2 linked regions of the Diceros bicornis minor genome follow. Each later gene encodes a partner of the first gene's protein in a complex. Links are inferred from orthologs where the notes say so. Each region holds a gene or a part of one and is shown on either strand. Other genes may lie near its edges.

What was found. The genes of interacting proteins can lie anywhere in the genome.
Region 2: the proteins of LRRC7 (region 1) and CAMK2A are in contact, whole or in part, in a crystal structure (PDB 6X5G), measured with the Homo sapiens proteins. The link is inferred for Diceros bicornis minor from reciprocal best matches to the Homo sapiens genes LRRC7 and CAMK2A. Residues at the interface, in NP_001357714.1 of Homo sapiens: His843, Gly844, Arg845, Arg846, Pro847, Leu848, Ile849, Arg850, Gln851, Asp852, Arg853, Ile854, Val855; in NP_001350919.1 of Homo sapiens: Glu96, Phe98, Glu99, Ile101, Val102, Lys137, Glu139, Leu159, Phe173, Ala174, Gly175, Thr176, Pro177, Gly178, Tyr179, Leu180, Ile205, Gly209, Tyr210, Pro211, Pro212, Phe213, Trp214, Tyr222, Gln224, Pro233, Glu236.

The regions. Positions count from the first base shown.
Region 1 is NC_080743.1:8,009,782-8,017,833, forward strand, and holds the start of LRRC7 (leucine-rich repeat-containing protein 7), read left to right. Parts: upstream 1-5,040; coding exon 5,041-5,137; intron 5,138-8,052.
Region 2 is NC_080740.1:67,297,456-67,304,713, forward strand, and holds the start of CAMK2A (calcium/calmodulin-dependent protein kinase type II subunit alpha), read right to left. Parts: upstream 3,017-7,258; 5' UTR 2,174-3,016; coding exon 2,112-2,173; intron 1-2,111. UniProt on the Homo sapiens protein: Calcium/calmodulin-dependent protein kinase that functions autonomously after Ca(2+)/calmodulin-binding and autophosphorylation, and is involved in various processes, such as synaptic plasticity, neurotransmitter release and long-term potentiation.

The DNA of each region.
Region 1 (8,052 bases):
TTTTCATCATCACAGAAAGTTCTCATAGTCTGTATAGTCATTAATAGCATACGCTCTGGAGTCAGACAGGTCTGGTTTTAAATTCTGATTTTTGCACTTACTGGCTATGTGATCCTTAAGCAAGTTATTTAACATCTCTAGGCCTCAGATTAGCCATGGATACAATAAGAATGACATAGATAATATATATATAAAGAACCTAACATAGTGTCTGGCACACCATACGCATTTTAGAAATACCTATACTTGATACCTCTAGTCTCTTAATCCAACTCCCTTGCCCTCCAGTGACTCAGTCATTCTCCCTCTTCCTCCTCCGTCCAGTGTAAATCCATTTCAACGATATTTTCACTCAAGCTTCACTTCCTTCATTCCTTAGCCACATCCCCAACTCAATCCACAATCCTAGATCAACCCAAACTTGTTCTCTGATCCAGCCGAGTCTACCAAATCTTGTTGGAGGAAATCATTTCACTATTGAGATTATCAGCCTTATAAATAAGTAGCCTCCAGGTTCATCTGATTGACCTCCAGACAACTTGGTAAGCCTTTGACAGTACCTCTTTGGCTACTCTTTTCATTTTTGATGGTACCTGTCCTAACTGCAGTGTCCTCACCAGGCCCTCACCTCACTTCTGTATCAGCAGATGACTTTATCTCCTGGGATGAATTCATTGAACTTCCCTTTCTTACGTCTCCAAGTATATATTTTTTATTTACAGGGGTTCCTAAATACCAGTATTTGCACCAGTGTAAGGCTACTTTAGAAGCACTTGATTACTATGAAAAAATACATCTACCTAAATCTGACCCCAGTTTACTGGATGGAAATCTTTAGTAATGGGAATGGTGGAATCTGGATTCGATTAAAGCTCCTCAGGAGATTTTGTGACCTAAGTTTGGGAGACACCACCAAGAAAGTTGTGGATACCTTTGCTCATAACCTCTGATTGCTTTTTCGTGCTGTTTGATATTAATCTGGCTGCCCCTATTTCTTCCCAGCAGTTGACATGTAGGCTGCACTTTTTAGAGCTCTTCAATGAGTTGTTCGAGTATCTGTCTTCCCTGTGGTCATCACACTTAATCTCTCCTTGCTGTAATTGTTAACACACTTCCGCTGGTGCCTTGCAAACTTTGAGAGTAGCTAGAACAGCTCCTTTGCTGTGTCCTGGCTGTGCTCCAAGACTTCATTCTTGGTCATTTTGTCTGACCATTTAATGCAAACTGTAGATCATAGATGATACTGGTGGAAGAGTTCAAGCAGCCAGAAGTGTAAATCTGAGGAAGATGGAAGTCTCGCAGCTATATAATTGTTTGAACATGAACATTGCTCTGTAAAACTTTTAATTTGATTCAAACTTTATTTTCCACTGGGCATAACATTTAGCATTCCAAAGAACAAAAGGGCTTTGAAAGCGATTTTTAAATTTTTTCTTCTGTTAGTGTGTTGTATATATAATTTATAGTTGGTTTCTTATGCCTCACTTATCTTTTTGGTGGTTCTCAAAAGCTTAAAATGTCACCAATAGAAACAAATATTTCTGTGAAAATAGCTAAATGATTAAAAATCAGCATATAATCAGCAGATCAATATATATGCAAATATATATATTTGTATAGTATTATATTTATATCTCTAATATATACTATTTATATACAAGTATATGTTAATATAAATATTAATGTTGTATATAATAAGAATTTAATCAAAATTAAATATGTATGAAAGTAGAATCTCAAGTATTCAGTCTCCTAGTGGAATTATAATAAATAATCATAGACTCATGGAAATAATGGATTAAGAAGCATCTAGAAAAAGATTAAAAAATCAGAGAACCTTGATTAAGTCTCAGTTGAGCCTCTTCCTTCCTGTGTGGCCACAATCAGGTTACTGAACATTTCAGAGCCTTAGCTTCTTCATCTTCAAAATGTTCTTTCAGAAGGTTGTTGTAAAGATTAAATAGAATAAATGATAAATGGTAATACGTTATAAGATATATTCATTGTTCTTGCTAAAGTCAAAGGGCAGTATAAAATTTTGAGATAGCTTCTAAATTCTCTAAGAAAGAATAAGTTATTTAGCACTTTAGTTAATTCATGAGGGTAACCACCCACTTCTATCCATGTTAGTATCCTTGGAAGATTGTCGTATAGTAATCCCTTAAATCTTACTGAATACAATGAGGTATATTTTTTTGAGTTCTTTATTTCTTAAGTTGGCAATTCATGTGCATAGATGTTTTGTGTTTTTCTAATAACCAGAACATTTGTTTAGACAGAATTTTTTTCTCAACAGTGCCATCTGTTCTTTTTCTTTATTAAATAAAGGCGACTTTTCATATTTTTCCCAACATATTGGACATTTAAAATTTTAGTATATGATTTCATTTTTATTTGGGATAATTATGGTTAATAATAGCTACGTTTGCTGAGCTCTTGCATTGTGAGAGATACAATGCAAACCATTTTACATGTATTAACATATTTAATCCTCACAACAATGTTATGAGGTAGTTAATGTTATCTTCATTTACAGATGAAAAAATTAAAGCACAAAGTAGGTATCTTTCCCTAAAATCATCCTTTAAGAGACAGAATGGGAGTTTGAGCCCAGGCGTCTGATTCCAGAACCTAGACTCATCACATTGAAAGCATGCTACATTGCTAACATTGCCTGATCTCTTGCATATCTGCTTGTGAACATCCCCAGGATGCAACCTTTGGGCACCATGATTCCTAGGGGGTTGACTTGGGGATCTTTGACGCCAATAGCAACCATATAAGTGAAACTTTCCTGGATCCCTGGAAGTACTTTCTAACCTGTTTTTCAGTTTTTCTGACATTCTCTCAAATAGAGTTACATGGAAATCAAGTAGACTATTTTCGTTTTCACATATTTGATAGATATATAAAAGGAAAAATAATAGCCTATCCAAGAGAGTGGTTTACACATAGATTTCCAACCAGGATAAATTGTTATTCCTCATCAGAGTGCAGTCACTCACGATAAGTAAAAATTGGTTTTTAAAATTATATCACAATTTTATCTAGACATTTGCATATGCAGGTTATGTTTGTTGTATTTTGCTATCTTGAGCTTATAAATACCAGGGAATAATTATAAGTTCATTTAAGTTGTTATTAGATCATCATGGAAATTAATGCGTTTGCTGAAACATAATCAAAATTGTGCGTTGAATTTATTTGAGAGTCAGAAACTAGAAAATTTTATATAACTTAATTTGCACAGCTCTTCCTCATAGTGAAACTGTAGGGACAGTCCTGGAAGCTTAATTTCCCCCCATATATAGTGTTAAAGCAAATTATGTCTTCAACTCTTCAGTTTTTCACTTGGTTTCTTGTCATTGTATTATCATAACTTTGAGAGAAATAACTCTTTTTCTCACTTGAAATGAGCTTCAAGTGAAACTAAGCTTAAAGTTATCTTCATTGCTCATTGAGAAAGATTTTTATACACACAAGTGTGGGGACATGAGTGTACACACACACACACACACACACACACACACACAAGTAAAGCAGCCCCTACGTATGAATATATTGATTTCAGGAAGTATATTTGTAAAAGTGTTTCTAAGAACCAGTGACAGCTTCCCATAGGAAGAGTATGTTACTATTCCAGTACTAAAGGCTATTTATGTCATATTTTACACCATTTTAAATATTGCTTTTATTGGATTATCCTTCCTCAGTTTCCTCTCTAGACACCAGAAACAAAATCCTCTGCACCACTAATGTTAGGAGACCCTCTACCACCATAAGGGTAATAATCATACTGTTTTCCATGGTATATATGCTATCAGCCAGCACAGTTGTCAATACCAGTGATGTCCCATTAGAATAATTATGTAGATGTTCAGAAGCTATGTTTATATTTTCAAAGTGATCAATCAATATCATGGTTTTGTTCTGAATTTTTAAATTCTGAACACTCAACAGTTTTTCAATGTTATCAAAATGAGTAGATTGTGCATTGGTGGCACGAAACTGTAAGGTTTACTGAAACCAAAAAATACTGACCATAAGGTATGTGCTGTTAAATATGCTAACCCAAGTTGCATGTGATGCATTTATTATTATTTTGTGGTTGTCAGCATTGCCAAGTCGCTAGCAACAGAGAAGTACACTTTGTATCAACCACTTTTTCAAGAAGTCACAATTATTAGAATTAGAAAACCCGTCCAAATTTAGTCATTAGCATGGAAGGACAGCAGCAATTCCATTCCTTGAAAACTGATATTCAGAGTGTTATTGAAATATATATTCCTTCTTCTGAAGGGTGACCTGATTTTTGATAAATTTGTTTGCTTTAAAAATAATCACTCTTTAGTCAATAGGTCTCCGCCTTAGTCAGCTGAGGCTGCTATAACAAAATACCACAGACTGGGTGGCTTAAACAGCAGACATTTATTTCTCACAGTTCTGGAGGCTGGGAAGTCTAAAATCAAGGTACCAGAAGATTCACTTCCTGGCGAGAGCCCTCTTCCTGGTTTGCTGATAACCACCTTCTCACTGTGTCCTCATATGGCAGAGAGAAAGAGAGAGAGAGATGGTGCACCCATGAGATCTGGTCTCTCTTCCTCTTGTGAGGACACTAATCCCATCAAGGGCTCTCCACCCTTTGGACCTCATCTAAACCTAATGACCTCCCAACAGTTTCACCACCAAATACCATTACATTAGGGGTCAGGGCTTCAACATATGAATGGTGGGGGGTTTGGGCAGGACATAAACATTCAGTCCATCACAGTCTTAATTGGAGGATGTGCATATGAGTTTTGTCCACATGTGTTCTTACATTTTTAAAATTGGAATGCCTAGGAAAAGTCAAGCACTGTCTGGTTTACCACAGTCCCTGCTACTTCCTACTCTCTTACTCCCTGCTAGATACTCTCAATGGCATTGTCCACCAAGCCTCTGTAGGTGCTTGAATTATTGACTCTTGATTTAGACCATTTAACTCGTCAAAATTTATGAAGATTTTGGTATTAAAATACTCTTTTGATTTTCTCTTATAGGATGGAGAATCTAATAAGGGGAAGGAATCCCCCACAATATCAGAGAAGTCCTTGTAAAGAAGTTCGCGCAGCACTTCGGAAGAGGCCTGAAGAGGAGTGTAAGTATGTTTAATAGGAGTAACTATGTTCTAGATAGATTTTGGTGAGTAGCATGATAAAACTAAAGAGTTAACCTTTATGTGATTAGTCAAATCATAGGGGTACTTAATAAATATTTTTTGAATCTAGTTGAATTTATTTTCAAACGCACATTATCACCTGCTATCTGGATTCAAGCATGAAGAACACTGTTTTCTTCATTTCTTCATAAGCATTCCTCTTATACTTTAAGATGCTCTACTGATGATTGGGTTCCGTGTTCAAATGAGATAGGGAAAGGCTGCACAATGTACCACATCTTTCTTAGATATTTGTGCCATGAATATCAATGTTTCTGAGGAGTCCTGATGTGGAAAAAACTTTAAAATGTTTTCAAAGTCAACATTTTCCAGTTCCGTTTGACCACAATGCTCTTTCAGAAATTTTTTTTTTAATTGAGGACTCTTTGAAAACCACTAAAGTCTAGCATTAGACTAAAGACTAAATATCTAGGGGTAAATATAAACCCATTGGTCAAAGTTAAACATTTGATTTAAGTGAATTTAGGAAAAGATTTTGGAAGATGGAAGTCATGTATCCCGCCACGGAGTCATTTTAGTTAATTTTCAAATTATTATCATATTAGAATATATAATTGTCTCTAGAGGTTTTATTTAAATATTTCTAGTCTGTAGCATTGTTGGAGATGTTTGACATAATACTTGCATTATAAGTGAGTTTATAAAATGACTGATAATACTAGCTTTCCTGATGTTATTTGTGTATAATTATTTTAAGGGAACTAAATTACATTCTGTTATGACAAAAATTTGTCTGAATTGTGTCTTCTTACAGGAACTTACACTTTATAAGGATAGAGCTAATGCAGTGGGTTCACTTGCATATACAGTTTAGCAAACTTTTAAGATTACATGGGCATTTTAAATTAGTTTGAAGTATACCGTTCTGGATAAAGACAAATACTTTAACGCTGAGCACACTCATGACAAGTAGAGTGTTTTTGTTTTGTTATACTTTGTTATAAGCTCGTTAGATAACCTGATTGAGTTAGCATCTGTGTCATTTAATGTAGTGTCAGTTTTCTTTTAAACGGTAGATTTATAGCTTCTGACATTATAAGCAATATCCAAATAAAACTAAAATTTGACAAAAAAGATAGAGTTCATGGGCATCGTAGAACAAAAACTATGTATAAGATGCAGATTCTTGCATAAAAGTATCACTTTTTTGCAGAGTTCATGGAAAAGCTTTGGGGTTTCTCCTCTACTCTTATGCTTATGCTTTAACACAATCAGCTTAGTCTCTGGTAGAGTTCTGCAGATTTTATTTAAAACCTTAGAAGAGAGTTTATTCATAAATCTATAGTTGATTCTCACAAAGTTGCTATTTAACATAAAGCGATTTTTCAGGCCTCTTGTACTGAGTTGGTTTAGGCCAGAGATTGACCAACTATCATCCACTGACCAAATCCAGCCTGAAACCTGTTCCTGTAAAACAAATTTTATTGAAACACAGCCATCTCCTATTTATTTAGGTATTGTGTCCGGCTGCTTTTGTACTACAAGGGAAGCATTGAGTAGTTGTGATAGACACTATATGGTCCACAAAGCCAAAAGTATTTACCCAGTTCTTTATGGAAAAAGCTTTTAAAGCCTGGTCTGGGCCCGTGGTTCTCAAAGTGTGGTCTCCAGACCACCAGTAGCAGCAGCATTTGGGAACTTGTTAGAAATGCAAACTTTAAGGGCTGGAACCCACATCTACTGAATTAAAACCTCTGAGAGTGGAGTCCAGTAATTTGTGTTTTGAAGAAGCCCTATGGGAGATTCTGATGCAAACTCAAGTTTGAAAACCACTATCCTAAGTCAAATGACTGGCTGCAGATGATATTAAATCATCCTGGATACAAAAGACTAATGATGATAGGCGTATTTCAGAGTTAAGTCTTATTGTTGTCTAATGTAAGGTTCATAATATAACTATTTGTGTTATAACAAACAAATTCTCATCAATTGCATTGTGACAGTCAGAGCAATTTTTGAAATATGACTTCAGGAACTCAGCTGGATTGCCTATGCTATTGAACATGGAATGATGCAGTGGAAAATGAGAAACCTGTAAAATGTTATTTCTCTGCCAGAATGGTCTTCATTATCCCTTGTTAGTATGATGAACAGTTGTTCTCGTCCTATTACACACCAATGTTAATTCCTTAAGAAAGAAGCCTTCTTTTTAGAATAGGAACAGCATATCATGGTGGCTAATTAAGACATGAATTTCAGACTTACACATTATTCTCTAATGTGACACTTAATGTGACCAGCTGTAGGACACTGGGTATTATTTTTTTAATCTAAGACTCAGTTTACTTGTCTGAAAAATGAGGATAATGATAGAGCATGCCTTGTAGGGTTGTTTTAAGCATTAAAGGAGATATTTATATTAAGTACTTCGTACAGACCTTGAGACATAGTTTTCTTTCTTCTCTCTTTCTTTTCACTTGTTATTATTGTTCTTTTTTGTTTCAAGCTAACCATTTGTTTGGGGATAATAAAACATGTTTCTGATCACTGAAATGAAAATCTACAGAAATTACCACCACTATTTTTAGAAGCAATAATGCCTAGCAAGGAACGGGTTGTAAACAAATGACGTAAAGCTGAAATTCTAGCAGCAGTGTTAGACAGTAATTCATGTTAGATAGTAATTTGTCTCACATAATGGCATGCTTCCCCTAGGATTCTACCAATTCAATATGAGATTTAGACCAAGACTTGTTGGTCAACTCCCATGGGAAGCTGCCACTTTAGGAAATCATCACAGAAAACCAAATGGTAGTGGCCTCCCTTAGCCGAGAATTGAAAGGAATAGTGGAACTTGATTCAGTCCAAAGGATCCTCCAAATGCAAAGAAAGCC
Region 2 (7,258 bases), on another chromosome or scaffold:
CGTCCCCAGAAATTCTGCCCCTGCCCCAGTCCCTGCCAGGCACCCTGGCAGGCACTGGGGCTGAGAAGGCTCACGAAAGCTCTCTCTACCAAGTCGCCCCCACAGCACCCAGTCTTAATGATATCCATCTCCTCTTGGGGCAAAATATCACTTTTATTTTCACTTTGAGGGCCTGAGTCACATCTCAACTCCATTTCCCTGCACTCTGTGACGCAGTCCTGCCAGAGCCCAGCCTTGGTCGCTCCCTGAAAGGCAGCTCCCAGCTCGTCAGGGAATCCTCGGCTCCGGTGGGCACCGGAAACCGGCTGAGAACGGGTCCCTACATGAGTTGAGCAGACAGCCCCTGTCCTCCAGAGCAGCCCTAAATATTTTGTTCCTGCTGTCCCCCCCACCCTCAGCACAAAAATATACTCAGAAAGACCAGGAAGTCTGCAGAAGAGTGAGCACACATCTGCACATGGATGTGTGTCTGTACAAGGGAACTAGTGTGTGCCTGTAGATGTCAGGATAGACTGGTGTGCAAGTGCGTGCGTGTGTGTGTGTGTGTGTGTGCAGGCAGCCTACTTGTACACAGCCACAGGCCCACCTCCCACACATATGCAGACACCAGCATGAGCTCCACATGCCTACAGCACCCACACTCCCACCCGAGCCTGGGGACCCAGGCCCCACATGCACACACACAAATCTTCCTGTGTGCATGCCCCCAGTCCTCACAGATGTGCGTATCCAGACCTCACAGGACACCACCGTGTCCAAGTCCCACAGAGATATATGTGCATCCTTATACAGACATATATTTGCACACACCCAGACCTCACACACGTTTGCCAGCTGATGTGCACACAGCTCCGAACTGCCATACATGTGCACACACTGTGACACGTTTACACCTTCACTCCCATGCAAATTAGCCAACAGCACCCCTTGTGCCACTCACACACATCCACCCTTGCAGGGCACACTTGCATTTTCAGGCCTTACACATGAAGCACACACCAGCACCTCCTCGTGGTGCACACACATGAACACTTACACACCTTTTCAGTGCACACAAGTGTACCCGAGTCAGTCCTTATACAACAATACACATCAAAATGCACACTTGTGTGTGCACATCCAGACCTCACACCAGCACATACCTACTTACAGGGCCCCTCTTCCCTGCACTCCAGCTGCTACAGCGGGGACCACCCAGGCCACTGAAGCTGCTCTGCCCACAGGGCAAACTCTGCCTGGAAACTGTACCCCTACCCTGGATCCAGCCCGAATCCTCCACGCACCTTGGTGGGGGCATCCAGGAACGCTTCCCTGACACTCCACAGCCGACTGGGCTACCCCAAGGGGCTCCCCTCTCCCCCATCCTCCCACCCTTCTCTCCACACCAGTCATTGGAGGCAGGAAATGAGCGCTGGGGCTGGACAACTTGGCCAAGGGACCAGAGCTGGTGCATCCTCACGCCACTAGCCCCTGCACCAGCAGTGCCCCCTCCAACTAGCCAGATTGCCCCTCCCCTCCTCCACAGGCCCAGGAAGCCTCATCAGTTGCTCAGTTATTAACCCCTGCTGTACTGATGCCCTCACTTCCAGAGGAGCTGGGAGGAGGAGGAGGGAGGCAAGGGGACGTGCTTACAGGGAGAGTTGGCCACTCTGCGCAGCCGCTGCAGGTGTCTAAAGTCAGGAAGGACTACCTGGGAGGTAGTGAACTCTGTCACCAGACATATCCAAGTTGAGGCCAGATGGCCACCTCAAGAGAAACTCGACAGGGGATTCCAGCCTTGGACTCAGCTGATTGGGAAGATCTCTTTTTAACCCTGAGTTTCTAAGAATTCGTGTGTGCCCAGGTGATGTGCACTCATGTGTGTGTGCATGAGCACACTGACATGCATTGTCAACCCTTTGCCCCTATATACACATGCCTGGCTGGCCTCGGCACATTGGTGCACCCGCAAACATGCCCACACCCGGCACTGGGCACCCCGCACATGCAAGTGCCCCCAAACACACGCAGCCTTCCTCCCTGTGTGTGCACAGGAAGCATTGCAGGTGCACACTCCCCGCTCATGACGCTGACCCCCTGCACCCTCTGGGACTCTCTGAGGTGCAACTCACTTTCCCAGTTCCTCGAAGAGCTGGTACTCTTCCGTGAAGCGGGTGCAGGTGATGGTGGCCATCCCGGCGCTGGGAGGGCAGGCGAGGCTCGGGGGTGGAGGACCAGGACTGGGTCGCTGCTGCTCTGCTCCCGGAACTAGGGGCCACTCGCCTGCCCCTGCTGCCGAGTGCAAACTGAGAACCAGCTTGACTGACGAGCCCGGGGCTTCTGAACAGGGCACTGTGGCTGCTCACAGCCTCGCGAGCCTTCGTCAGCATCCAGGTCCCCATGGCAACCACCTCCGAAACGCCCTGTTCCCGTTGCCCCGGTAACTGCCTCCCCAACACCTGCCTGCCTTCCACTGCGAAACCTGCTCCTGGACGCCCTGGCCCTACTGCACACAATACTGCAGACCTGTGTGTGTCTGGGGGTGGATGGACCCAGCTCCCCCAAGGTGATGGACCAAGGGAGGGGCTGGAGGAGGGGGAGGAGAACAAACTTAGTCCACAAGTGATCTTCTCTCTCCCCACCTCCCCCACCTCCAACTGTGGGGCCCTTGTAGCAGACAGGATGGGATTAAGTGGGGCAAAAAGGCAGTTGCCATGGTAACAGCCAGTGGCTGCCACATTCCGGGATGGTCCCCAGAAAAGACAGGATGCAGTTACCCTGGCAACTTCTTCTCCTCTGGAGAGACAGGTATTGCCCCGTTGCCCTGACAACAGCTGGGTTCTAAGGTTTACAGGGAACCTATAGCTAATTCATTGGGATCTCTCTCTCTAAGTGGATCACTGCAGTCTCTGTAACTGTCTCTCTGCTCCTCTCCGTATATTTTTGTTTTTTTTTTTTTTGCCTCCACCTCTGTCTTTATTTTGCTCTCACTCTCTCTGCTCTTTGCCATCTTGTCCATCACACTGAGACTCTAGCTTGGGGGAGAAGTGCAGAGGAGACACCAGGATTCTGCAGGGAACAGCCCTAGCTGCCCGCCCACCCCCACCCCTCACGGCTGTGACAGTTGGTGGCCTCCTGGGGCCTCTTCCGTAACCTCGCCCCCACCCCAGGCCTCCAGAGGGACCAGGGAGATCTGGTCTCCTGTGGCTCATGTCCCAGTTTCTGCTTGTGCTTCGAGTCAAGGTGAAAGAGCTGGAGGCGGCCGTGGGGAGGGAAGCACGGCCTGGCATGGAGGGGAGTGGCCACAGACCTGCCCTGAAATCCGCATTCCCAAATTTTGTGGACACTTTCCCTGCCAACTTCAACTCTTCAGGGCAGCTGCCATATCTATGGCCCCAAGATCTCACTCCAAGGCCTGAACGGTTGAGAAGGAGAAGGACTGGAGTTTAAGGATCCGAGTTCAATTCTAGCTCTGACATTTTTTAGCTGTGTGACCCTGGGAAAGTCACTGCCCTTCTCTGAGCCTCCAGCTCCTTTTCTACAAAACAGAACAAAGCTGCCGCTGCAGAGGAAGGCTGTGAAGATAGAGTGGGCTAAGGGCTGTGGAGGCCTTTGTACGTAAACACAGGCCTCTTTTTCGTTTCTAGAAGAGGAAAAGGAAAGTCTAAAGGGGGACGATGACCACCTCCATCACTCCAGCGTGGACTTAGAATCTCAGACCCTTCACACCCACCGCCTCCACTCAAGCTCATCTCACAGCCCACCAGGCTGAGGTCTCGTGCCAGCAGTGGCCCACGAGCACAGATCAGATAAAAAGATCCAGGATCCAACCCCACCCCTTCTGAACCTCCAAATTGCCTTATTGCTCACCTCATTTGCTGGACACCTTGTCTGCTTGTTGGTAATCCCCAACCCAGCAGGTCCCTGACTCACGACCCTAGGTCCAGGGGCCCCTGAGACGTCTGGGGCCCCCTCACAACTCTGCCCCTCTACTTGGGAGTCGGGGGTGGGAGAGGATGAGGGGGTTGGCTCTCCAATGCAGCCACTTCTTCCCAGGAGAGAAACGGGAGGGAGGCAGAGGGGGAGGAAGGGCGGCGAGCAAGAGAGGGGGTAATGGCTCAGCCACTAATTGCACCATTACCACCTTCAGAAAAAGGAAAAACCACTCAGTTTTGTTTCTGTGCACAATATGCTTTCCGCTTCTGCCGCCAACGTTGCAATTCAGAGGCAGAGAAGAGAGGCCCGTGCTCAGGGGCTGCACAGCCAGTGGGCAGCGGGTAGAGCACAGAACACCCCTAGAGGCTAGGGGCTGACACACTGTAAATGCTCAATTATTATTATTGAGAGACTCAAAAATCCCTCCCTCTTCCCACCACTCTCTGAATTTTGGAAGTACACACCACTATCTTCAAGTCCCAGGACATTCTCTGAGTCCCCACTGGAATCGAGCTTGCGGTTTGAACATCACCTTGCCTGGACCTGGTTTGCAGAAATGCCTGTGGAACAAAGGGCTGGGGCTACAGGGAGAGGGGTCACGAGGCCTCCAGCTCATCAGGTGCCAACACAACGCTGCTTTAGAAATTAACAAGTAAAACATAAGGCAAATATGCCCAGAGGCTGTATTAATGGGAATCTAATGTTCTGAGCAAAGGAGGTGATAGCCCTGCTTGGTTTGGAGCTCACTGACCGCTTCACTGATGACATGGAGCATGTTCAGAAGAGAGCAGAGCACATGGGGGGAGCTCCGGCCATCAGGTCACAGGAAGAGCTAGCGGTGACTCAGAGGAGGACTTGAAGGGGCGGAGGCGTAGACGGCCAGCTCTCTCCCTGTCTCTGATGGGGACCACGAAGGTGGCCTATGTGGCTTCAGAGGGCAAGACCAACCCAGCCCCATCCACCCATCACCCCAGTCACCCGTCTCTCTTCTCCCTGAGTTCCACCTACCTTTTCAGCTCTCCTTTCTCCTCTCCTTCCTCTCTCTCACTTTTCCCCGTTTTCTTCCTTCCCTCCATCGTGCCCTTCCTTCTCAGTCCTACCTATCCTTCCTAGTCCATTTCACCCCTATTCTTGTTTCTATCTCCCTTCCTTTCTGTCTTGGTATCTGTCACCCTTCTCTCCCTCCGCGTGCTGGCCTGGACCCTGTGCACACAGTGCTGGAGGATGGGCAGGACCCAGGCTGCAGGATCCTGCTGGTGGAGAGATGGCCGCAGAGGAGGGAGAAGAGGAAAAGGTCTCATCGGCAACTCCAACGCACGCGCACATACACACCTCTGAACCTTTGAGAACCTAGCGCAGGGTGTGGGCACTGCCTCAGACGGGCACCCCCATCCTGGTGTAACTGCCACCCTGCCGAAGAGGCACGGTCGCTAATTCACTGCCTCCCCTGTGCCCGCGAGGCTGAGGCTGGCAGCTGTGCCTGGCGGTGGCGGGCAGCGAGGAGCCAGCCCTGCCTCCGTGGCGCTCAGAGAATGAGCGATGACTGCATCAGGGGGACTGTTCCTGCCAGACTCCCCACTCCCTAGGGCCATGGCAGGCATGCAAGCCAGCACGTGTGCCCCCATCTGCAACACGTGTGTGGTACCCAAGAGCCGGCCTGCCTGCCACAGGCTGGTGGGCAGGGGTGGGGGCCCTGGAGGTGGCTGAGCATGGCCCTGTACCATAGGCTATACCCCACGTAGACACGGAGGGACACACGGGCCCAGGGCCAAGTTCCTGGGCCATGGCAGGGGAGTGGGTGAGTGACTGCAGCCCCAGTAGCATTGTGACAGCTGACTCAAATCCCACCTTCCACAGCCCACACACATGCTCGCATGCACGTGCCCGAGTGCCCCAGGGTCCTGCAGGTCCTGGGCAGGCGCCACAGAAAACGTGCCATCCGAAGGGTCCCCACAGGCCTGTCCCACTAAGGGCAGTGAGCGTGGGGAGCAGAATCGGTGGAAAGTGGGCCAAGAGAGAACTGATCCTGCAGAGGGGCTAGGTGGAGGGTGATTTGGTTAACTAATTGCAATAAGTAACGCCAGGCTTGCACCCTGAAGGGAGAGAAGTCAGGGGTCAGGGAGCACCACACAGGAGGCACTGGAAGCAGGGAGCCAAGGGGCAGAGGACAACGGCTGCTGGGCCAGCATCTGCACAGCACAACCTGCAGCGGGAGGACCCCGGTTCAAGTTCTGCCATCGGCTCTGAGTACTTACAGCAGGTCTTTCTCCAGCTGGGGCCTCCACTTCCTCCTGAGAAATATGGGGACAAGATGTTCCTTCACTCACTCCAAGGACATGAGAAATAGTTATTTCCACTTTAGAGCCAGGCCCTGTGCTGAGCGCTATTTATACATTTGTCCACAACAAATGTGCGTGGACAGGTACAACGTTGCCCGTTTTGCAGAGATGTGATGTGTCTTACCCATCTAGAGTCTGTGACTTCAGCACCCCCACCCTGTGTTCTTTGGCCTCCCTAAGGGCTGGAAGGGCCCTAAGAGAGCCCATGCCCCTTACAGATGGGGGACTGAGGCCCAGAGAGAGGATGCTGCCCTCCCGCAGTCGCACAAGTCAGGGGCAGAGTCAGTATGACAATCTGGAACTCCTGACTCCCAGAACAGTGCTCCTTCCCTTACCCTGTGCTGCCCTCCCTCTTTATGGCACTGCACGGCTACTTGCCTAGGTCCCAAGGTAGCCAGCAGGCACCAAGTGAGAGGAGGAAATGGTGCCAAGGCCCAGGGTAGAGCTCAGAGCCCTGCCCCTCCAGCCAGGTCTAGGGTGCTCTCCTGGCTCCTGGGGGACTGCTCATCCCTGCCCAGAACTCCACAGGCAGGGCCCAGCTCAGGCAGGGCTGCCCGTGGCTCCAACCCATCTGGCTGACAGATCTGCTGCCATCTGGCCCAGCCAATGGGGAAAGAGGGGGCCTGGCTGGCATCTCTGGGCTCCACTCCCCCAGATCTATGACCCAAGAGGCCAGAGCTACCTCTGGTCTGCCCTGCCTCTCACCCTTCCCCACCATAGATGGTGAAAGCATCTGCCTGGCACTGCCAGTCAGGGGTCTGACACAGAGCCCAGACTCAGGTGCCCCAGCTGGGAGGCATGGAGGGGCCACAGGAGGTAGGTGGGAGCCACGCTGATGGCTGGGCAGAGCAGAAGCCACAGCAAGCAGGCTGAGCCCCTCATCACCACACCCTGAGTCCTCGTCGCTCCTCATCCAGAGACCCTCCACCCGTCTCGGGCCCGGGCCAGCTGCCAGCACCCTGGTTAGGCAGGCTTGGGGACTGCTGGGTGTGGACCGGGTCACG